Sus scrofa: one gene and its partners. The protein of the gene in region 2 interacts with the protein of the main gene of each other region in a biochemical or structural test. Links are inferred from orthologs where the notes say so. Each region holds a gene or a part of one and is shown on either strand. Other genes may lie near its edges.

Region 1 (3,500 bases), on a different chromosome or scaffold from region 2:
AGAGGATTTGAGGAGACTACGATGGGGTTCCATCCACACAGACCCAGGGGGTGTAACCGTTTTCTGACTCTGTGCAGCATCCCTGCCCCCTTCCACTATAGCAACCCAGAGGCCCTGCTGTAGGGAGAGGAAAATATGCAGCTCTGGGACAACGCAAGTCCAGGCCATGGCTGGAAACATTATGATTTATGTGCCTTTTACACACACGCAGTAAAAACAACTCATTTACACAGCAGGGAACAACAATTTTTGAAACCTCAGTTTTTTCACCCCTAAAATATATGGTCCGGATTAAGTTACCTCTGGAGTCCCTTCCAGACTTCAGCCTCTGTAATTCATAACCTGAGCGAGTCAGATAGATGTGGATTTAAATTCCAACCCTGTCAATGTGTGCCTCTTAGCAAGTTGTTTACCCTGGGTGAGGCCTCAGCTTCCTAATGGGTGACGTGACGTGACACTCCTAGTTTTTAAGAGGGAACTACAGAGATGCAGCAGCCAGCACAGGGCATGGGGCTTACTCTCCATCAATGGCTGGGAGCTGTGACCATTCTGAGCTGCCCCTAAAGGCTGCGAGAAAAGCTCTCAGCACCCAGGCCTGCCCTGTTCCATCCAATTCCAGAAGAGAATGTTTACTAGATCAATCTTGGGGCAGATCTCTTCCAGAGAGGCCCAAATATTTCTACTTCTTTTCTGAAGAATTCCTCAGGTTTTTGTACAAGATAGTGCAAGATATCAGAAACTTCAGGGTGTGGTTTTGCTAGTTAGAGACATTATTGTTTCCTTCCCTAAACTGCAAAGGACACCTGACTCCTAATGTTTATCTGTTTGCTGTTTAATCACTCACTCACCAGGGTCTTAGAGCTGAAGCATAACATTTAAATCAAGCATTATCTGCTGAAAGACATCAAGCTCTAGAGCAAAATATGAGGTCCCTGAGCCAAGCCAGGGTGTGCTACTCAAAAACCCTAACTGCCCTCAGGGTTGCATTACTGGAGCACTGAGGTCTTGAGCATTATCTGAGGATTTATGCTCTTCCCACCCTGCTGTAATCTACTTCATTTTCATCAGTGCCTTGTGGCTACATGGATAACTCCATCCCAACACCATCTTTATCTATCTAACCATAATACTTCAGTTTTTATAAACGCTCTGCTCTTTTCCCACAATCTAGGCAAAGAAATTTTAAGAATCTGTTCTCCTGATCCTATCATTGCCTCTCAAAGGCTAGAGAACATTATGGCTGGACAATTCAAGCCTTAGTAGTTCATGCTGGGATCACTTTTAGCTCTGATTCTCTAGGATTTTAGCTCACAAATGCAGTATTGTCACATTTAAGACCACTTGGCCAACATGATCTCCATTATTCCCCCCAAAGACCAGGGAAGACAATAAAACAAGAATATTCCTAATTTGTTTTGAATCATATTTACTACCTTGTAGGCTATAGGGAAATTTATCTTAACTTTCTGGAAAACTTCTTCGATCTATTATAATCTCATTATTTAAAACTATTTGCATAATCTTATTTTTCAGGGGTTTTTAATTTCATAATAAAACTCCAGCTGAGTTGAAATTGAGCATGCATACTCTTAACCCAAGAAATAATTCCGTGTCCTGAAGAAGTTTAAACCCATCACGCCAGTTTAAAAGCAGAACTCAAAAGAGCTGAAAGGGAAATACCATGGGCAGTGAGCAAAGTGCAGAGAAGCCTGAAGGCAGGGCCTGTGGGCTGGGGCTACCAGGATGCCCTCAGGTCCCACATGTCACTCTGGGTACAGGAGAGCCTTCTGCCTCTTTTTTTTTCTTTTTCTTTTCTTTTTAGGGTCACACCCATGGCATACATATGGAGGTTCCCAGGCTAGGGGTCCAATCAGAGCTGCAGCTGCCGGCCTATACCACAGCCACAGCAATGCAGGATCCGAGCTTTGTCTGTGCCAACACCACAGCTCACAGCAACGCCAGATCCTTAACCCACCGAGCAAGGCCAGGGGTTGAACCTGCAACCTCATGGTTTCTAGCTGGATTCATTTCTGCTGTGCCACGACGGGAACTCCTAGGAGAGCCTTCTGCCTCTTGTTCTGAGGGATGAACCAGGCCACCCAACTCTGACCACACACGGAGGAAGCCTAACAGCCCCACAGCTTTGCAGGGTTTTGGAAACCCCACAATGCAAGTCTCCCTTTTACCCAACTCTCTGCAGAGGTGAAAAGGACTGGTTACCAACACAAAGGTTTTCATGGCTGAGAGCATGAGTCCATGGATTTCCACAGGGTAGAGATAAGAGGTTTGGGGCCAGCCTGCCAACATGTCCCCTTCACAACAAATCTCTAAGGAACAGTGATCTCTGGGTCAGCTGTCGGCAGGGGCGACAGATGATGATAAGGTCCTATTTTCATCAACACATCCTGTTACATGACTGTTTGTTTTGCATCCTCAATTTAAATTCATGGTTTTCAATTTCTTAAAAATCCTCTGCTGCTTGGAAGATTTACCCCAGAGAACCCCATCAGCCCTGGTCTTACTAAAAGTATCTCTGTCCATCTTGCTTCTGTTATTTAAGACAAGATCCAAGTCATGGAGCTCACCAGGCAGTAACCATGCATTCCTGTTGTAGGCTTACTGCGACATGGAAACGGGTGGAGGTGGATGGACAGTTATTCAGCGACGTGAAGATGGAAGTGTTGATTTTCAGAGGACTTGGAAAGAATATAAAATGGTATGAATATTCTTTAAACCATCTGAAAATAATTTCCTTTGTGAAAACTAACTTTGAGAATGTGCACAATCTTTGCCACAAATCCACAACTAACCAGTGACTTTCGACCATTTTTTTTTTTATTTTAACCGAAAGGTTCTTGGTGTTTCAGTCTCCCTGTTAAAGAAAAGTCCTGTAAATGCAATGTAAACTATATATCAAAACAAAGGCATGCAAATGAGAGGCTTATTTTTAACGGCAGGCTTAGCATTTTGGGGGTAAACTGCTTGTTTCATAGTGTTTCACACATCTAGAAACAGAGCTGTCTATGCTTATGTTTCCACTGGTGGGTGGTGCCCTGAGCTGCTCTAATTACCCTAGTTTTCTTCTAGTAACAACTTAGTTCCTTAAAACTGACCTTTAGAACATCTTTCTTATATGGAAGACCCCAAATATTCACAGTACAGGAAGGAATTCCTGCTGAATATCTGATGTTGTTCCGTGCTAAATTGATGGACTACTGCTTTCAAATATGTGAAGAGAAAAGTAAGTAAAGTCAGTGACTTTCCCAAATCGGATTCCAGGGCTTTGGGAGTCCCTCAGGCGAACACTGGCTGGGAAATGAGTTTGTGTCACAAGTGACCAATCAGAAACGCTACGTGCTTAAGATACACCTGAGAGACTGGGAAGGCAACGAGGCTTACTCACTGTATGAACACTTCTATCTCTCCAGTGAAGAATTCAATTACAGGTAAGGAAATTATACATTATTTAGAAAAGGTAAGGGAGGTGCTGGTGATCGTTC
Region 2 (10,669 bases):
ACAGTCACTGGGACTGGGGTGGGTATTGGGAGAGGGGAAGAGGAAGCTGAAGAGAAGGTAGTGTCTCTCTCATGCAAGGCTTGGCAAATCATGGTATGAATTTTAGATTTTATTCTAAATGTAATGGGAACCCATTAAAATGTTGTGAACAGAAGAGTGCTCATATTTTATGAGAGTTTCTTGTGAATGGTGGGTTGGAAGGGCAATAGCAAAGCCAAGAGTGCACAGAGCAGGTAACTTCATTGAATCTGAGCAGAGAACTGAAGAGGGCTTTGTTGGAAATGTAAAGGCACTCATGCTTTACCCTCATCTAGGAAGAGAAGTAAAATCCCAGAGTGTAAGGACTGATCTGATTCTTGACCTTTTATTTAGTTCTTCCAAAGCCCTTGAATGCCCCAAACGTAATTGACACTGGACATAACTTTGCTGTCATCAACATCAGCTCTGAGCCTTACTTTGGGGATGGACCAATCAAATCCAAGAAGCTTCTATACAAACCTGTTAATCATTATGAGGCTTGGCGGCATATTCAAGGTAAGATTTGGAAAGGAATGGCACCAGCTGCAGGTGGGGCACCAAGAAAAAAATTTTTTCCCCTAATATAGAAATCTTCTCTCCCAAGGTAGGGGCTGTAGTGGTGGATTTCAGAGTATTCAGGAGAGAGTGGGGAGGTCCTCTGAGCTCTGGGGCTACCTTTCTGGAAGGGATGACATAATATGGACACAGAGCCATCCTGTGTTAGCAGTTGCTATCTACATTAATATTTCCTTTCCAGGCTTCCCTGGCTCTCCAATCATGGTCTTACTCTATCTTGCTTGGTCATGGTGAAAGATACACATTTATGTCATGAATATGGCAAAAGGAAGGAAAGTCCAAAGTCTTCTGGAAAGGCAGAGACTTAATCTGCTTACATCTGAGAGGTGATTGTTGCTACTGTATCAGGTTGTTTATTCTTTTCCTCATTTGAGTCTTGCCCTGCCTTCAAGCTCTTAACTTAGAGATTGTAAGAGGAATTTGGGCCTGAAAGTTTGGGCTGTGGCAGACTGAACTGAGGGAGAGGGAGGAGAAGGTATAGGCAAACAGAGTTACATGCTCCTCCCTTAACTTTTTGGAAGGAAAAAACCCAAATGTGATAAAATGTCAGAAGTTCATGAAAATAGTTAAATTTATTTATTTGTTAGTTAAATTTATTTTGAAACATAAATTACAGTTCTATTTCTTAAATGATGATATAAAAATCACAGTTTTTAAAAAGAAAGCTGAGTACCATCAGTTGGCCATCCTGAGTTAATTATGCCATCTTGTAGTGAGATCTACACTGTCATGCTTGTAGGGAACAGGTATCCTTTCACCAGGACTTTAGTCTCACTGTGCCTGCGATTTCTTATAAAGGACCCCTTTCACACGAGATGCAGACAATCAAGGAAGTTACAAAAAAGAAGAAAAGGAGGGGATTGGGCTTAATAACACTAGCTGACCTGGGTACATTGAATAAAGTCATAGTATTATTACTGAGTTCTTCATTTTCTTTTGAAGACTCAGCTAAAATTCAGAATTTCAGCAACATTAAGCCTGAATTGCTGGATTGCTGTTTCCAACATCAATGGCTAGGTGTTTTTTAAAAGCAGATTTAAAAAAATATAGTGCACATTATTTCTTTGTGGACATCCACAAAAGTGGTCTTCTAAGAACTATTAAACATAGCCCAATACTTTTTCTTACCAGCTGGGAATTTATCTTATGGTAAGGCAAAAATATGCATCTGTATATTTTTAATATCTGACATTAAATAATCACACAAACAGATTCTGGAAAAACAGAATCTAGCAAAGCAAATAGCTAAGGAGAAAAGAAGCATGGGATCTATTTTCAAGGACTTCAGAACCCTTAATTTGTTATGACATGACTATTTCAAATTTCTTGTCTGGTCATTGCAAGCAAACTTTTAAAGGAGTCTCGTCTCGTGAGATTGCAATCACTGTGTGTACTTCTTGAAAGTAGAAGTTAAATTCTATTATTTTAATTGAATTTTCCCCCCTTAATCTGATGGGTATTCTATATAGTTGAAGATTGTGTGGTTTTACTCTACAACTGAAAAGACAAAAACACTAGTAGAAATGTATAAATGCCACAGTGATACTTACATGAAAAGCCTTATTTTCCTTATGTTAGGAACACTGAGGTCCCTGAGGATGGATTTGTCTCTCTGTTTCACTCAGACGTTGTATTTTTAAAACCAAACATTCATTCACATCACAATAACAACATTCCAGTTTAAAGAATGTAAAATATTGCCAACTTAAGTTTCCTGGACTTTCTCTCTTCTCAGTGACAAGTGAGATTGTTACCCTCAACTATTTGGAACCTCGAACAGAATATGAGCTCTGCGTGCAGCTGATCCGGCGTGGAGAGGGCGGAGAAGGGCATCCTGGACCCGTAAGGCAGTTCACAACAGCTTCTATCGGTCAGTTGAAGCAAACAGGCATTTATTCAGGAGCTGGGTGGGTGGGGGAGGAAGGGGAAAGAGGAAGGAAGACCAGGAAGGGTGGTGGTGGGTGAGTGGGTGGGTTGGGATTGTGGTGGAAGGAGTTGGCTTTTGAATGGGTGGGAAAGTGACAGGAAAGCTAGCAACTGGGAGCCAAACTGGTCCTTTATTTGGGCTGTACTCCTTGTCTGTCTCCCTGGAGGGAGGGGATCTGCAGCAATCCACAGGGACAGAGAAGGAAGCAGATGAGCCTTCAGGAAGTCCAGGACATCCCTTAGGATTTGGGATTAACTTAGTAGCAAACCGTTCTCAATCTTGCTTGGCTCCTGACTCTTACCACCAGCTTCCTGTTTCCATCTCAATGGCCCAGGCCAGGCTCTTGTCCATATGTATTTCAGAAATCCCAGTTTATTTATTTTAAAAAATAATTTCTAGTTTTTCAAAGTAATTCACACACATAGTGAAAACATCAAATAGAAATGAAAGGCTTTTACCTAAAGAATACATGTCCTCTGCTTTATTCCTCCACCTCCCTATCTGCTTCCTCGAGGCAGCTGCTTTTACCTCCTTGAGCCGTTTAATATATACTTCCATGTTTCTAAATCAGTGGTTCTCAAACATTAGTGTCCATCAGAATTGCCTGCATCACCTGTTAAAACTGGATTTTTGGCCCCAACTCCAGAGCTTTAGATTCAGTAGATTTATAGTAAGGGTGGGGGCTCAAGAATCTGCATTTCTAATAAGTTCCCAAGATATGCTTGACGCTGCTGGTCCTGGGTCAACACATTCTAAGTAATATATGTAGCAATATTTCTTGATGGATCAATGTTAATCAATAGCTATTTGTCTTCTACCGTGTTACTCAATGAGCCTTTGAATGTGTGAAATTTCCTTAGCGCTGACTTGGCTCCAGCTTTCTACTACCAGGGTCCCCTCCTCTGAAACACTTGGATCCCTTGTAAATTTCTTTTTGGTGTTCTGGTGTTCACTGTATATAACCATTCTGTTACTGTCTCCTTGAAACTTTATAGTTTGAAGTTCATGTCTATTTAATTCTTAGAATTATCATCATCCCCATTTTATAGATTGAAAAGTAGAGTCACAAGTACTTAATGGATCAGGTGCATCACCATACTAGATCTTCCCACTTGATATTATTGTTTCTCCATTTATTATATTTACCTGGGAGCTCAAAGCCACCATATCCTTATCTGAATTGATGAATTTTCCTATTTTTAGTCCATTTACTAAAGGCAGAAGGAAATGGAGTGATTTAGTGAGAAACTAGGAAGAGTATCAAGCTCTTCCTCAGGAGCTCTGCATCCCTAACAGAGACTCTCCCCTCCATACCCTCCACCTAGTGTTCATCTCACCAGTAGCATCTTTAAAGAGCCAAATAAAACTCAGAAGCTCCTCTGATGCTTCTAGAAGCATTGCACAAGTAAAAAAGGGCTTCCTGGAAACCCACCAGGTAGTAAATACAAAGAATAACACTAGAAACTGAATATGAGAGGATAAAGGAATCTGCATGACTATCATCCAAGTTGCTGCTAAAAGGCAAATGGTAGTTAATTCTCTCTTAGATCAGTGCTGATGAATCAAAAGGGGAAGGCTATAATCTGACTCAGCTGGAAAGTATTTATGGAACAGAACATAAAACACTTCACAGACCCACGGTGTGCTCTCTTCAGCCCTCGGAATATGTTCCAACCAGGATGTGTTTAGAGGTCTCTTGGAGTATTTCAAAGTAGTTCTCAGAGGTGGGTGGGAAGGGAATTCTTGAAGGTTCATCTTTTCCCATCATTTGAATTTTGCTGATGTTTGTTTTTAAATTCACTTGGCAGCTGCACAACAGTATAAGTGTGTTGATTGAGTGGTAAAGGCCAGGGAGGCCAGGAGAGGAGGGAAGAGAACACACTCTGAACACATGGCAGAAAGAGGGCAGGTAGGGAAGGGAGAAGGGAAAGTCATGTTCCCAAAATGAAGGAAGAAGGGAAATTATCATTTGGGGGGTTACTCCTCTGTACCAGGCACAGGCTTATAAGGTTCACACAATTGCTCCAAACCATCAACTCTCCATTCTGCTGTGCCATTGTAAGCCTGTCTACCAATTCCAGGTGGCCTATTTTGGAAATTAAACTTTCGAGAAGAGCAAAAGGAAGTGATACCACCTCTCTCAATTTGCAAAGGTTATGGACAAAAGACCAGTAAGACATTTAGCATAATTCCAGGCTGGTGGCAGGACCTGACTTCTGGTTCTCCTTGGTCTCAGAGCATCCAGAACTGGCCAGTGAGATGGGTAGAAACAGATCCTTCCACTCACTTCTAACCAAGTTCCTTTTCATTTTTAAATTATCACCCCAAAGAGATTTTTTAGATATTTTATCTTTAAGAAGAAATCTTCTGACATGAATTGTAATAATCAAAGATCTGTGTATATACTGCAGCTCTTCAAAAAACACTATACTACCTAAAATTTTCTCACACCCCAAGAACCAGTTTTTGCCCCATTAGTGGCAATAATATCCCTCCTGAGAATGCATGAGTAGAGGGTCCTTAGTCTATGTTTTGAAAATACTTTATATCTGGAGTTTAAAATACCAATGTACTATTATTAGTTGAAAACTTATAGATTCCTCCACTGTCCACTGACACAAGATAAAACAGCTTAGGAAGGAAGGAGTAAGGAAGGTAGGAAGGAAGGAAGGAATGGAGAAGGGAGGAAATTCAGCATTTCCTAGAAAATGCCTGGAAGACATTAAAGTCCCTAACCCCTTCCAGGCAATTTCACCTGCCTTATCTCATTTCTCCTTCTGAGTCTAGAAGTTGAGTATTTTCATTTCATGTTACATGTAAATTGGAGAGGTTATAAAAATTTCCCAAGGTCACAAAACTAAAGGGGCATGCTCCTGCATCTTTGATTTCAAAACCTATATTGTTTCCATTCAGTTACCTCTCTGGTAGCCCAGGTTCTTGTGGATACTTATGGCCAGACAGCATGTGGTCATAGCCAAACCTTAATGTGAGCAGTTCTAGGCCTGACCCTGCCATCATAGTGTTATAATATCTGCCATTGTTCTTGCTAAGGGGAAGTAACTGAAATTACTTTAAAATGTATTGCACAAAATGGGAACAGAAACACCAAATATTCACTTACAAGCCCACAACCGTGATGAATCCAGTGTTTCTATTTTTTATCAGTTTCTTTCTTATTTCACCAATTGTAGACATGATTTTTACAAAGTTTCAGAATTTTTTCTCATGTCTTATAATTTTTCGAGGGAGGGGCTTCTGTACTTTTCCCAATTATCTATCCCAATCCCTTGGATGGCTACATCATAGTTTATTAAAGTGTTTCCTTATTTTGAGCACTTAGGTTTCTTATGATTGTTTGTTATTATAAATAATGTTGTAATGGATATCTTCATGCACTTACCCTTTTTCTCTTCCTTTAGGTTATTTCTTCTGGATAAATCCCTGGTAGTCAGATTACATGGCTGAAGTATAGAGTCATTTCTAGGGCTCTTGAAAAATATTTCCAACTTACCTTTCAAAGGGGTTGTATTCCTCTATTACAGTTACTCAAACTACATACTAGAATATTTTAAAGCTTTGCTGTTTTGGTAGGAAAAAAATTATTATATGGCAGCTAGCACGTATTTTTTTGATAGCTTGTGAAATGTATATTATTCTAGAAGCCAAGGTTATTCTATAAAGCTGTCCTTTCGGATTGTTATCTACATAAAAATAATGATCTTTCTGGTTTCTCCTAGGTCTTCCTCCTCCAAGAGGTCTCAGTCTCCTACCAAAAAGTCAGACCACTCTAAATTTGACCTGGCAACCAATATTTCCAAGCTCGGAAGATGACTTTTATGTTGAAGTTGAGAGGAGGTCTGTACAAGTGAATAGTGATCAGCAGAATATTAAAGTGCCAGGCAACTTGACTTCAGTGTTACTGAACAATTTACACCCTAGGGAAAAGTACATTGTCCGAGCCAGAGTCAACACCAAGGCCCAGGGGGAGTGGAGTGAAGATCTCGTCGCTTGGACCCTTAGTGACAGTGAGTAACTCTTGCTGTCCCAGCTTTGCCTGAATGACAGGTGGCTGCTGCCATTTGGACTTAGCTCTCATCACTTCAAGAGTGTTTCTTAGAAATCATAAAAGGCAGTTGTGAATAGAGGCCCATTAATGCCTCCCCCACCAACACATCAAATCATTTTAGTGACCTACAATATATACGGAAGTTCCACGAATTTGGGTTTATAATTCATGCAGGACTGGGTAAAAATTACCTTTCCTTTCTTTTTTAAGTTAGAGTATAGTGGTTTCCATAGAGTTATTTATTAAATAAATGAATAGCATGAATAAAGTTTTCTAGGGCTTGTTGAATGTGTTATAGGACTGTTTTCAGGATTGTCACGTATCTATATGCACAAAGATGATGATTAATTAGAGAGGTCTTAAAACGGCTATCTAATTATTTTTAAAAAGCCTATTTAATTATCTCAAAAAATCTTAAAAGCCAAAGAACTTTGAAAAATCTTCAAAACAGACAATTCTTGGAGTAACAATCTATATTGGAGATTAATAAAACAATGTTTCTTTCAAAACATTCTTCAGTTCAGGCATTTTAAAAAAATTTCATATTGTTCATTAAAAGTTAGTTGGAACTACTTGGGTTTCTATGTAGCATTGAAAGCTTTTTCATCCTGAACCGGAGAGATCTATTTTTTTTTTTTTGTTTTTTTTTGTCTTTTTAGAGCTGCATCTGTGGCATGTGGATGTTGCCAGGCTAGGGGTCAAATCAGAGCAGTAGCTGCTGGCCTACACTACAGCCATAGCAACATGGGATCTGAGCTGCATCTGCAACCTACACCACAGCTCAGGGTAAGGCCAGATCCTTAACCCACTGAGTGAGGCCAGGGATCGAACCCACATCCTCATGTATACTGCTTGGGTTCCTTAACCGCTGAGCTACAACAGGAACTCTGAGAGCTCTATTTTATTCACTGCATTAGAACCATGTCTATGCATTTGGGAGTCCTTGGAAAAACTAGGTATTTCTGGGTCACACCAGTATCACATCTGCTGGGATCCTGCTCTCTTGTCAGTCTCCAAAGTCTGAGATTCTCTCGGCAGCTGGGACTCCAATTCCCCAGGAACAGGTGTGCAGCTGGCTTAGTGTTTCTCCAGCCACTCTCTTCTTGATCAATAATATGTGGAAGTCTCAAGTGTTTAGGGATGACTTCATCATTTTTAAAAAATCCTGAATTGGCCCAACATTGTAAATCATGGCTTGGATCTGGTATTTCTGTTGCTGTGGTGTAGGCTGGCAGCTGCAGCTCTGATCGACTCCTAACCTGGGAAAAAAAAAAAAAAATGGTAAAAAAACATAATAACCTGAGCGATGGTAATATATCTTAAATAAAATATTGCCTGTTTGTCTTACAATTTCTAGTTCTCCCTCCTCAACCAGAAAACATCAAGATTTCCAATGTCACAGACTCCTCGGCCGTGATCTCTTGGACAATCTTGGATGGCTATTCCATTTCTTCTGTCATCATCCGTTACAAGGTACAGGGCAAAAATGAAGACCAGCACATTGATGTGAAGATCAAGAATGCCACCATTACCCAGTATCAGCTCAAGGGTCTAGAGCCTGAAACAGCTTACCAGGTGGACATCTTTGCAGAGAACAACATAGGGTCAAGCAATCCAACCTCTTCTCTTGAACTGATGACTCTTTCTGAATCTCAAGGTTGGTAGAGTGGACAGATGTTAACATAGAATTATTTCTGGAGATTATCAGAAAAGCCTCATTGTTTTAAGATATTTATCCCATATTAGTATCATGTGACATAATCAGCTTATCCTAATAGATGTCACCATCTCTAGAGATGTCCTTGAAATGAAAATATCCCTTGGAGGGATACTCTGCTGATCCATTTTCTATCATTAAACTGTAGATGAGTCTAGCCCATCAGAACTCCCCATCCAGCAGTTGAAGCTCTGAGGGATCTGAATTTGATCCTGTGGAGAAAGAAGAATGTGGAACCTGCTTAGTGGAGGCAGGTCTGCAAGGTGCTTTAGTGGGAGATGCCAGGAACCAAGCTCCATTCTTTCTCAATATGAACTTGTTTTTTAGCTTAGATGACACTGTGATATCCTGAGTTTTCTTTTACTTTTCAGATCCAGGTCATGATGTCTCCACATCCACCACCAACCCCCACCCCAGGGAGAATTAGCTCTTTGAGGTGGAGATTCCTCAAAGTGCCAAGCACCTTGCACTGGGCCAAATGTTTGTGATTTTTAAAAACTGAAATATAGTTGATGTACAATATTATTAGTTTCAGGTATCTACTTAGTGATTTGACATTTGCGTATATTATGAAATGATTACTACTAGTAATCATCTTTCTCCACACAAAGTTATTACAATATTATTGACCATATTCCTTATGTTGTATATTATGTCCCAGGGGTTTATTTATTTCATAACTGGAGGGCTGTACCTCTTAGACTCCTCTAGCAGTTGGGCTTGATAAAACCTGTTGAATATAATTAGAGAACAAGGATGCTGGGATAGCTCCTATCCTTCGAGATCTGTCTGAAATTGTACCGCTTGGCCCTCTGCACTGTACAGCTTATACAGGGGAATGGAGACAGAGAAACATTAGAGGGAAACAGTGATTTTTGCAAATTTTTAATTCAGACCAGGGCATTTTTACAGGAAATCTTATAGCACTAAAAATTCCTTGGTCCTCTTGAAGGATATGTAGGGCTTACAAATTAAAATCGAATTAACTCTGTTTTCAATACTAATTCTTTGGAACATTTTTGAAATGTCTGAGAAATGTCTGTCAATTATAGAGAATCATAGGTTTCAGATGACATTCTTAATAAATGCATCATTTCTATAGTTACTTATGTTTTGGTAAACTTATACAAGTCCTAAATACAAGCTCTTAATAAAATACAAAGAGAAAAATTAAAAAATAAGACGTAACAAAACTAAAAAACCCTCACCATTCTATTTCAGACATCTCTTTATTGATCCCATGTCTGGGATCATTGCTGTACATGCTGTTTTTCATAAAAATAATTGAATTTAATTTTATTTGAATTTAAAAAGGGGAAAGAAGTGGAAGGATTATACCACTGTCTTTAATAGTTGATTTAACTGAGTCCTAAATTTAATGATTTTTCTATTCTTTCTCTTCTTTCCTTCCTTCTCCCAATGAGATTCTCAGTTTTTATCCATCAGCTCTTTAAAACAGGAAAAAAGCAAAACAAAATATCCTACAGACTCTATGCTTTTAGTAGCATAAACTTTAAAGCTTTTCTAGGTAGAGAAATTGTTCAGGAAGGTTTAGTCACTTTCCCAAAATCATAGATGTAGTTAGTCATTCTCACTGTTATTTGGTAATATTCTTCTGCTTGGGCCTCTACTTGGAAGTGAAAGTTGAACAAGGAACAACAAATGATTAGCATGTTGCCATTTGAAAAGCCCCTTTGCACATTTCCTTGAACTTATAACAGCCCTATGAATCTGACTCATCTTCACTGACTTCCTAAAAATGAATGAGTAGCCCACAGTCACCTAGCCGTTAGGTGGCAGGGCTCAGGCTGCCATTACATTGCCATTACACTGTGACTTCTCCTGCAGATAGTCTTGGCCTGTCTCTCTACCTAGACTAACCTTCTGCTTCTCCCATGTTCTCCTGCACAGCACCAGCAGACCTTGGAGGTGGGAAGATGCTACTTATAGCCATCCTTGGCTCAGCGGGAATGACCTGCCTGACAGTGCTCTTGGCCTTTCTGATCATGTTGCAGTTGAAGAGGGCAAATGTCCAAAGGAGAATGGCCCAAGCCTTCCAAAATGTGGTAGTGTCTCATCTTCCTAGTAGCTACTAAATGCAAGTCCGCATATTTGCTGTATCTTCATTTTAAAGATGTGGGCCAGAAAATTTACTTGTAAAGCAGATACTTCGCTTAGGCAAGTTTCATCTTTTCTTTGTCTTTCATTATGAAGTGGGAGACAACTAGCATGACTATAATACAATTTCTTGTCCAAATTGGAACAATTCTGAGAGTGAAGAAGTTACTCTTAACAATTATGCAGGAGGAGTTCCTGTCATGGCCCAGCAGTTAACGAACCTGACTAGGATCCATGAGGATGCAGG
Region 3 (10,669 bases), on a different chromosome or scaffold from region 2:
CGCCCCACCTCAATTTCCCTATCTATAGAGTGGACCCTCCAAGGACTTCTCTCACCCTGACACCCCCGCCCCTAAGCCCAAGAAGGCCAAACAGATGTGGGGAGGTGCCTCTGGCCCAAGCTTCTGAGAAAGGAGGACGATGGCTGGGCCCTAGTCCCCTCTTCTGATGGGACTAACTCCAGGTGACCAAGGCATTCCCAGTTCCAGCTTCAGTCACTCCATCCACAAGCACTTACTGGGCACCCACCATGAGCCAGGCCCAGGGCTGGGTGCTGGGACTACGGCAGTGAACAGCGGAACTGTGGCCTCTGTCTCCACCCAACACCCAACAGTGGGTCTCCAAGGAAAGGAGGAAGGAATGCTTACTCGCTGAGCACCTACTATGTGCCAGATGCCCTGCTAACAGTATTCCTGAAGTTTCCAGACCATGGAAAGCCTAAAAGCCTGGCCGCAGGATAGGAAACTTTAAGCTGAGGGCAGTGAAGAGCCACCGCAGGGTTTTGAACAGAGGGGGACCAAGTTTGAGGAACCCGGGAGGGGAAAATGGCTTGAGGAGAAAGACAAAGAAAGGTTTCCTTCTGCGACTAGGTCACCAGAAGGGGGAGACTGGAAATCCTTTAAGGCTCAAGGAATCAAACAACAGCGATGGGTTCCAGGCTCTATGTCTGGCAGAGATTTGGGGACAAAAGGTGGCACCATGGCTCCACCTAAGTCGGGTAGGCCCCACCAGGGAGGGGTCTCAGGCCTGAGGTAGCCACAGGCAAAGGGGGTGGGCGCCTTCCAAACCAGGAGATTAGGAGTGACGGGAACCCATCCCTGGCTTGTGCAGAGCCTCAGCAGTGCGGCTGCCTAAATTAATCCCGTGTCACGCGGCCTGGGCCTGACCCCTTCCCCACAGGTTCACCGCTGACCCAACCACCAGCTGTGACCCGGTGTGTGCTCCCCAGGCTCACCAGGGAGGTGGTGATGGGCACCTCAGGCACCCTTTGCCCAAACATCTGTCCTCCTGTCCCACTGTGTCCAGGGAAGAGGCCCTAGGAGTCATTTCTCCCTCCTGTCTAGATGGAAAAACTGGAAGAGAATTAGTCGGCAGGTGTAGAACAGAAGATCAGAGGAGTTCCCGTTGTGGAGCAGTGGAAACTAATCCAGCTAGTATCCACAGGGATGCAGGTTCAAATCCTACTTCATTCAGTGGGTCAAGGATCTGGTGTTGCCATGAGCTGTAGTGTAGGTCGCAGATGCAGCTCGGATCCCAAGATGCTGTGGCTGTGGCTCTGATTTGACCCCTAGCCTAGGAACGTCCATATGCTGTGGGTGTGGCCCTAAAAAGAAAAAAAAAAAAATTGAACAGAGACGGGCACAGAAAACGGGCATCCATGAAGGCCAGCGGGAAGCCTGCACCCCTCTCTGCATGGCTTTGTCCTAGGCAGGCGGAGGCGGACAAGGGGTGGAGAACTCGGGGCCTTCTAAATGTTAGAAGGGTGGGGACCCAGGTAGAAAAGACCTCTCCAATGCACAGTGTCCGAAGCAGCATGGAGTGACGAGGTCTCTTTGTCCAGCCTTACAGCCACTCCGTGGCGGTGACCCAAGGGGAGGCGGGTCATAGGAAAGGCACTGGCTCTCCAGTCAGATGGAGCAGGGTTCGAGCTCTGGCTCCCTCGCTGACTAGCACCCGCGCTTTGCACGCATTTAACGTCTTAGAGTCTCAATTTTCCTTCCCTATAATATGGGCCTAATAATGGCACCTGTCTCACAGAGTTCTTGCACAGGATCAAATGAGTTCAAGCACGCAAAGGGGCTGAGCACAGGGCCTAGGGCCAAAAGGAGGTGAAGCTGGTTCAAAGATTCAGGGCTCCAGGCTGGGGCCAGACTATGTTGCATGTCCATACTGGTCCATCCTTGCTCTTATGCTCCCTGAAATATTTTTCCTGGCTCCAAACTGCCCATGGCCGTCACTGGCCAAGAAACACTACAATCCATGGTGGGTATGTCACTTTTGTTGTCATTACTGTTGGTGAGACTATTGTCATTGACTAAGGACAACTGTAGTGGACAGGACCTAGGCAAGAGTGCCTGGAACTCTGAGGCCAGCTCCTAGCTCTGCCCTAGGCCTGTCCCAGCCCACCTCCAGGCCAGCACCCTACCAGGCTTAGCTGGACTCCTGTTCCCCAGGGCCCAGGGTGGCTGACAGGTAAGGCTGTGGAGACCCTGCCCAGGGAAAGTTGGTGCACAGACTCGGGTGGATTGGGGCCTTGGTCCCTTCATTTGTCGTCTGGGAACAGCAGTCTCCTTTTAACAGGGCCCCAGCTCCAGGACTCAGAATCCAAGTTCAAGTATGAGGCCAAAAGACCCCTTGGTAGCTTCCTGGTTCTCCGCTGATGCAGATATGTATCCATCTGGAACTCCAACCCTATCCTCGGATACCCACCTACCCAGAGATAGGATTCTGGTGGAATCATAGCCCAAGCTCTCACTGGATCCCATGAAAAGAGCCAGAGAAGGGATGGGAAACTTCTATTGTTTATTTACCAAGAGTCTTTTTTCAGGCTGGGCCTGGAGGCCCTTGGGGCCCTGGTGGGATTCAGCCATTAAATTAATATTCTCCTGAGGTAAGATGCTTCGGCACTTGAGGCCAGCAGTCAGTCAGCTCCCAGGGCGGGCCTAGTGAGGGGGCCCACCTTCAGGGCTGCAAGGCTCTCTGGCTGAAGGAGTAGGCTGTGGAGGGCACTCTGGCCCATAAGACCTGGGGAGAGGGAAAGCCCTGCCCACCTCCTCCTGCCCCACCAGCTCTGTGCCCTTGAGCACTCTTGGGCCTCAGCTTCCTGGCCTGTCAAATGGACCTCAGTAGAGCTCAAGCCCCAGTTACCTGTCCTAGAAGATTCCAGAAGTTTATCTCTGGCTTCCTTGCTCTGAGTCTCATCCACTTTGGTGGCTGTTCTACACTTTGGCCAGAGCGCTCTTCCTCAGCACAGACTGGACTCCTCAGCCTGGCATTCAAGGCCAAACTCTCAGCTCATCTCTCTTCCTTGACCTCCTCTGTGCCAGCCTCACCCCATTCCTCTCAGGTCCATCAAACGGCCGGAGCGCCCTCTGGCCTCCGCTCTGCCATCAGGGTGTGAGTCATCTCCCGTCCATGGCCTCCGTCAGCTCCCCTCGCCACGTTCCCTGCACCCGCCAGGACTGTTCCCACCGTGGAGCCTGAGCATATGCTGTTCCCTGTGCCTGGGACCCTCGCCCCTTCTCGTGCGGGCGCCTCCTGCTCCTTGTCCAGGTCCCAGCTCACCGTCAGCTCCTCTAGGAAACCTTCCAGGTCCAATACATCTCCCTGTCCCCAGCACCTCCCAGCCCAAAACCTGACACAGAGCAGGCTGGAGTGACCCCTGATGCCTTCCCACTCGCCTTAGCTCACTTCCAGTTGTTTTTACCTTGTCCCACTGCAGCCTCCATGAGGGCAGCTGAGCAGGTGTTCCAAGACTGTGCAGAGATCCAGCGCTTCGGGGCCAATGCCAGCGGCATCTACACCATCCATGTGGCCAACGTGACAGAGCCCAGAAAGGTCAGGGGGCTCCCTGGGGGCCAAGGCCATAAGAGGGTGCCGAGCCAAAGGCTGCTCAGACAACCCTCCAACCCTACCCCCACTTCAGCTTCAGGCCTTGTCCAACATCTGAGATTCTGGAGAAGGTGGGTGTGACCCTACCTTCTGGAGCCCCAACCCATTCAGGTGTCAGATCATGCAGTTAAAGCAGAAGGTCCCAAAGCTGGTGACACATCCTTCTCCAGCATCTTTTCCAAGGATGCCTTATTTTATTTATTTATTTATTTATTTTTAGTCTTTTTGTCTTTTAGGGCCATACCAGCGGCATATGGAGGTTCCCAGGCTAGGGGTCGAATCAGAGCTATAGCCTCTGGCCTACACCACAGCCACAGCAGCGCGGGTTCTGAGCCACATCTGCAACCCACACCACAACTCACGGCAATGCCAGATCCTTAACCCACTGAGTAAGGCCAGGGATCGAACCCGCGTCCTCATGGATGCTAGTCCAGTTCCTTAACCACTGAGCCATGACGGGAACTCTCAGGGATGCCTTTAAGTTGGAATAGCAGGAAACGGTTCTCTGTCGGTTCAGGTAAATGCTAGCTGATATAACCAACAAACCTTTAAGAATTTCAGTTCCACAAAGAACTTAACTTTGGGCTTAACACAAAGAAGTTTATTTCTAATTTACATACAGTCCAGTTGAAGGCAGGTATGGGTGCAAATTGGGGATGGGGGCTGATAGAGGCCCCACCACCTTCAATGAGTGGCTCCCAAGGTTGCCCTGAACTTTGAGGTTCAATTATCATATGGGAGGATGGTCAAGGGAAATTGTGGATGTCAGGATGGGAAATTGGGGGGCCAGGCCCAGAGGTAGAAGAGTTTGGGGAACAACTAGCCAGTTTCCCCACTTTATATTCCCTTGTCAGTTTTCTTTGGACCCTACTGAATCTATCAAGGAGAGCAGCGCAGAGTGTCTTTAACAGTTCTCATACACCTGCTAAACCCCCCTTTTAATAAAAAGAGATCGGGCCTTCAATTTCTAGCCAGAATATTGCAACACTCTTTTGTCTTCATTGTATGTATTTTTACAATTATCTGAATAAAGGTGAGTTTACTAATTTTCCCTTTTAGGGTATTGATGAGATTTCCTTTTAAAACACATTTGATCTGAGTATTTAAGCTTTTAAAAAGACACCATTGGCGTTCCCGTCATGGCTCAGTTGTTAACGAATCCAACTAGGAACCATGAGGTTGCGGGTTCAATCCCTGGCCTTGCTCAGTGGGTTAAAGATCCGGCGTTGCCGTGAGCTGTGGTGTAGGTCACAGATCCCACGTTGCTGTAGCTGTGGTGTAGACTGGCAGCTGTAGCTTTGATTAGACGCCTAGCCTGAGAACCTCCATATGCCACGAGAGCAGCCCTGGAAAAGGCAAAAAGACAAAAAAAAAAAAAAAAGACACCATTTTATGAATTTTATATGAAGTTAAGTAAATTCAGCTGTAGTGGAAATTCAGAAGGCGTGAATAGCTAAAATTTGGAAACTCTGATAGAGAGGGAAGAGGTGGCCTAGGAAGTAAGAGATCAGGGCTCAAACTTCAGCTTCAATTTTGACCCATTTGCCTTGAGCAAGTCCTTTCCCCTCTCTGGGCCTCAGTTTCCCTTCCTGCCACCTCTGCTACCCTCACAAGAGATGTCACTGTCTTCTCTCCCTGAGTAGGCCTTTATCCTTTCAGAGTCCCTACGCCTGCTGCTCCCTCCACTGGAAATGCCATTTCCGTTCATCTCTATCTGGCAGGTACATCATCCAAGGCCTTGTTCCAGTGCCACCTCCCCCGAGAAGACTTCTGGGGTTGCCCCATGACTCTTTGGGGGAACTCTCCTTATTGCTGCCCAAATATTCATATTCAGTAGTCTTCCAGCCCTATCAGACCTAGCCCTGTCAGTCTGCTAGCTTACTCCAGACCAAGCCAGCTCTGGGGGTTCATTTATCTCTGATTTGTCTCTGATTCATCTAGTACAGGGCCAGGTACCAAGTGTGCCCTCCCAGAACACTGTGATGGAAAAATCGTATGTGAGCAAAAGTTAAACTGAAAGATGTGATTGTGATGGATGGGAAGCTCTTTGAGAGATAGAACTCTTTGTAGCATCCATGTTGGCATCTCCTGTGCCTTGAATGGAGCCTGGCGTGTAGTAAGTGCTCAGAAAACATTTGTCCACTGAAGGTAATAACATTTCCTAAACTCCACTGTGTGCCAAGCGCTTTATACACCTTGGCATTTATGTCTCACAGCAACCTTGCAGTAACAGTGAATGAAAAGTTTCCATTTGCTTGGTTCCTAGTATGTGCCAGGCTCTGTTCTTTAGTGGGTGACTCATTTAATTCTCACAACGATCCCAGTTTTCAGATGAGAAACTGAGGCACAAAGAGGTTAAGGTATTAATATCCTCAATTTGAAAATGAGAGAAGGGGAGTTCCCGTCACGGCTCAGCAGAAACGAATCTGACTAGGAACCATGAGGACACGGGTTCGATCCCTGGTCTCACTCAGCAGGTTTAAGGATCCGGCATTGCCATGAGCTCTGGTGTAGGTCACAGACGCGGCTAGGATCTGGCGGTGCTGTGGCTGCGGTGTAGGCCGGCAGCTACAGCTCCGATTCGACCTCTAGCCTGAGAACCTCCATATGCCACAGGTGCGGCCCTAAAATTTAAAAACAAAAAAGACCAAAAAAAAAAAAAAAATGAGGAAAGGAAGGCTCCAAGACGCCATCACTTGCCCAGCACTTTAGAGAAATGAAGACAAGAATAGGGAGTTTGGACCTGGTTCTTTCTGATGCTCTTGACAGCCTGGCTGGCCCGCCGCTCTGTGAGGTTCTGTCAATCAAGTCACCCTCAGGCTGGACCAGACCTGGCATCTGGCTACCTCCTAGGGCTTCCAGCTTCCCCTCCCCATTTCCCTCCAGGTGTTCTGTGACCTGGAGGCCAACGGAGGTGGGTGGACCCTCATCCAGCGCCGCGAGAATGGCAGCGTGAATTTCCAACGCAACTGGAAGGATTACAAACAGGTAACACTGCTGCCCTGGGGAGAAGCTTTTTAGCCCCGAAATCTGGGGCAGGAAGGGGGCTATGGGCAAGGGTTTTTAAAGGCTACAGGAAAGGAAACAGAAAAAAGTCATCTCTGCTGCCGACCCCTGCCTGCCTTGCTTAAATGAAGGTCTTTGTCTTAGCAATGTAGGAGACACTGCAGGAGAGATTTTTTTTTTTTATGCAAAATTGCTGGCTCAAAGACCCCATGCATTTTACAAGACAAGGAATAGTGTCGGATTGCCTTCCAATTTTTTTAATTAAATTTTGAATAAAGAATTTTTGGCAAGCTGACTCAAAAGCTCTTAAAGTTTTCAAGAACGAAAGGAATAGAAAAAGATACTTGCACAGATACATGACAATACTATTTTTGTGTGTCTGCTTGCTGTTCATTTGATAAATATTAAAAAATAAATACCAAAGGAAGCTATGTGTTCTTAAACCCAAGATTCTTTAATCTCAATTGATTTAAAGAATCATTAAAATGACAACAAGAAATAGGGTGCTCAGAGACAGAAATACACCAAAGAGTGCTGAATAGTAACCATTGGACTGATAGGTAGTGCAGCATGACCAAAATGGGGAGTGGGGCTTTGGCGTGCCTTGTCCTTGGTGCTGAATCATTGTTCCGGCCAGGGGCATTGGTTTCTTGCCACTCTGGGACACTGATGGCAAGAAACCCAACGCTCCTAGCTTTCCACTTCTATGTCACTGAAACTTTGCAGTGGCTGCCATGTCACTGATCAAAGTTTGCTCTACCATTTATGCAGCCAATTTGAGTTTTTATTTTTTAATTGAGATTTAATATGCACTCGGCTAAGTGCACAAATCTTAAGTGTAAGATTCAGTGAATTTCCACATATGCATTCACCCACCTGACCATCATTCAAAGCTAGGTATACAGCACTTCCTGCACCCCAGAAGCCCTCCTCATGTCCCCTCCAGGTCTGTACTCCCCCCAAAGCAGTTGCTATTCTCATGTCTATCACCACAGGTTTTTGCCTGCTCTTGAACTTCATAGAAATGTACTTTCAGTTATTTTTACATTTTAACAAGTTTTTACATTTACAAAGGTCTTAGTCTTTTTGCTCTAGGAGGTAGGGAGCTCCCATCCCCAGGCCTGCCTGGACTATACTTTATCAACTCGGTCATTAAGCAAAGTGGTTTCGGGTAAGTGTCCCCAGAGCCTGGCCCAGCCCATTCTCACAATGGGCGTAACCAGAGGCATAACCCGCATCCTTGGCATGCAGCCCACCCCTCTTCTCCCCTTCCCTAGGGCTTCGGCAACCCAGCCGGGGAGCATTGGCTGGGCAACGAGGTGGTGCACCAGCTCACCAGCAGGGCAGCCTATTCTCTGCGTGTGGAGCTCCAAGATTGGGAAGGCAATGAAGCCTATGCCCAGTATGAGCATTTCCAGCTGGGCAGCGAGGGGCAGCTGTACAGGTGGGCTTGGGGCCCAGGCTGGTGGGTGGGCTGGAGGCCCTGGGCTAGTGGCTACAGCATCTGCACCAGGGGTCAGTCCCTGGGCGTCTCCTGATCCCGCCATCTGTCCCCCATTTGGGCGCACGTCATGGGATCTGGAGGCGGCTGGTTAGCACTCAGCACATCCCGGCCACTGGTGGGGTGGAGAGAATGTCCCTGATGCTGCCCTCCTAAGAGCAGGAAAGGGCCTTCCAAGGTCAGTCACCCCAAGTCGGTCATTTAACAGAGGCCCAGAAGCAGGGTGGTGATCTTCCCAGCCTGTCCTGTGCGGTGGCATGAGGCGGAACAGTCTCGAGGCTAGGAATCGGGGGGTTGGGTTCGTTCTGGCTCTGCTCAAGTTCACTTTGGGAACTTGGGCGAGTCAAGTAGCCTTCTCTGGACCTCTGCTTTTTAACTACAGGATGGGCTTAAAGCATATTTTAGAATCAAGGTCTCCCACCCCTCCCTCAGCCTGGTTCTTGGCTCCATTCAGGAAAAGGAATGAGCATTTTATTGAGCACCTACTATGTTCCAGGCACACAATTCCATTTAATCCTCCCCACCGCCTTCTTAGGTAAGCATTGTTTTAGCGATGTGGAAACTGAGACACAAGGAGTTCCCCTTGTGGTGCAGCGGAAATGAATCCAATAGTATCCATGAGGATGTGGGTTTGATCCCCGGCCTCTCTCAGTAGGTGGGGGATCTGGCATTGCCATGAGCTGTGGTATAAGTTGCAGACGCAGCTCAGATCCCATGTTGCTGTGGCCGTGGCATAGGCTGGCAGCTATAGCTCCAATTCAGTCCCTAGCCTGGGAACTTCCATATGCCACTAGTGCAGCCCTAAAAAGGAAAAAAAAGAAAAAGACAAAGAAACCAAGACACAGAGCTTTTGTCCCCTGCCTAAAGTTACAGGTTAGGCAGGCCCTGGTTTTGAAACTCAAGGATCTTGAACATAAGCTATCCTGGAATCAGGCCAGAACTGAGTAGATGCAAGCTCCAGGGCCACAAAGATACCACACGTCATCTGGTTCTTCATATGATGCTAGACTCCCTTCCACAGCCATAATCATCACCCAGCCACGGCTGGAATGCCTCCACTAATGGGGAGGTCACGTCCTCCCAAATCATCTCTGATGACTCTCTGCCCCCTTGCACTACAAGCCTGATTCCACCTCTGAGGGCTTCTCAGTGCTGTGCCCCTAACCCCTCCCTTCTATGAAATGCCCCAGGGAGCTGGTTCTTACATCCCTCCTATAGAACCGAACCCAATCGGATAATGTCCCTCCTCCAAGTGCAGGGTCCAGAGCTGAATGAAGCATCCCCTGGCCTGGGCTAGGCAGGGCTGAGCTGGATGCCCCCAGCTCCTCCGGCTGAGAACCCACAACACCCTGCTGATTCCTATTTAAGCCACTGTCCTGCGAAGCCAAGGTTAACTCCTGGCTTTATCCCCATCTCCCTGAGTGGCTTTGAGCAAGTCCCTTCACCTTCTTATCCGCAAAATCGGTGCCCTGGGTATACCTCCCTCATTCAAAGTGTTATGAAGCTCTAACGATACTACATGTAGAGCGTCAACGCTGGTACTTAATAAATATTCAGTAAATAATATTGTAATTACTGTCCCTGAGCCAGCCCTTCCCACACTTGGCTGGCCTGCTCCGTGCAAGTTCACTGCTGTTCCCATCCCCAGTGCCTGGGACATGGTAAGAGCATAACAGGAAGCTGGGGGAGCCTCCCTGGTCCTCCCTACACACGTAACAGCTTCATCTCCATGACCCAGATCCTGGGCATCAGCTTCTGTGGCCTAGGTCCAGAATCCGCTATTTTTCTTGGGGAAGAAACATCAAGAAAAGTATCTCATTGCACTACAGAGCACAGCCCTGGAGTTCCCACTGTGGCTCAAAGGGTTAAGAACCTGACATAGTGTCCATTAGGATGCGGGTTCCATCCTTGGCATCGCTCAGTGGGTTAAAGATCCGGTGTTGTCTCGAGCTGTAGCATAGTTTGCAGATACAGCTCCGATCTGGTGTTACTGTGGCTGTGGTATAGGCCAGCAGCTACAGCTCTGATTCAACCCCTAGCCTGGGAACTTCCATATGCCTCAGGTGTGGCTATAAAAAGAAAAAAAAAAAGAAAAAGAACATGGCCCTGGAGCCAGGCTCTATATACAAACCCTGACTCTACTGCTTTTTTGGCTTCATGACCTTAGACAAGTTACTAATCTCTCTGTGCTTCGGTCCTTATCTGTAAAATATAGTTTATATGTCATAATTGAAATAATCTGTGGAAAAACGCCTAGCATAAGTGTTAAATAAATGGTGGCTCAAAAAAAAAAAAAAGGCAGGGGGTGGGGAGTAGTTCCCATTGTGACTCAGCAGTAAAAAACCTGACTAGTATCCTGGCCTCGCTCAGTGGGTTGGGGATCCAGCGTTGCTGTGAACTGCAGTGTGGGTTGCAGACATGGCTCAGATCCTGCATTGCTGTGGCTGTGGTGTAGGCCAGCAGCTGCAGTTCCAATTCACTCCCTAGCCTGGGAACTTCCATATGCCACAGGTGTGGCCCTGAAAAGACAAAAATAAAAAATAAAAAACCAA

Evidence for each region.
Region 1: the proteins of TEK (region 2) and ANGPT2 form a complex in vitro, tested with the Homo sapiens proteins (7 studies listed by BioGRID and IntAct, with this or other methods). The link is inferred for Sus scrofa from reciprocal best matches to the Homo sapiens genes TEK and ANGPT2.
Region 3: the proteins of TEK (region 2) and ANGPT4 form a complex in vitro, tested with the Homo sapiens proteins (2 studies listed by BioGRID and IntAct). The link is inferred for Sus scrofa from reciprocal best matches to the Homo sapiens genes TEK and ANGPT4.

Annotation. Positions count from the first base shown.
Region 1 is NC_010457.5:37,552,426-37,555,925, reverse strand, and holds part of ANGPT2 (angiopoietin-2), read left to right. Parts: intron 1-2,614; coding exon 2,615-2,716; intron 2,717-3,279; coding exon 3,280-3,446; intron 3,447-3,500. UniProt on the Homo sapiens protein: Binds to TEK/TIE2, competing for the ANGPT1 binding site, and modulating ANGPT1 signaling. Can induce tyrosine phosphorylation of TEK/TIE2 in the absence of ANGPT1.
Region 2 is NC_010443.5:195,957,325-195,967,993, reverse strand, and holds part of TEK (angiopoietin-1 receptor), read left to right. Parts: intron 1-372; coding exon 373-534; intron 535-2,329; coding exon 2,330-2,464; intron 2,465-6,258; coding exon 6,259-6,546; intron 6,547-7,944; coding exon 7,945-8,244; intron 8,245-10,215; coding exon 10,216-10,370; intron 10,371-10,669. UniProt on the Homo sapiens protein: Tyrosine-protein kinase that acts as a cell-surface receptor for ANGPT1, ANGPT2 and ANGPT4 and regulates angiogenesis, endothelial cell survival, proliferation, migration, adhesion and cell spreading, reorganization of the actin cytoskeleton, but also maintenance of vascular quiescence.
Region 3 is NC_010459.5:34,377,319-34,387,987, forward strand, and holds part of ANGPT4 (angiopoietin-4), read left to right. Parts: intron 1-3,440; coding exon 3,441-3,556; intron 3,557-6,496; coding exon 6,497-6,598; intron 6,599-7,893; coding exon 7,894-8,060; intron 8,061-10,669. UniProt on the Homo sapiens protein: Binds to TEK/TIE2, modulating ANGPT1 signaling. Can induce tyrosine phosphorylation of TEK/TIE2. Promotes endothelial cell survival, migration and angiogenesis.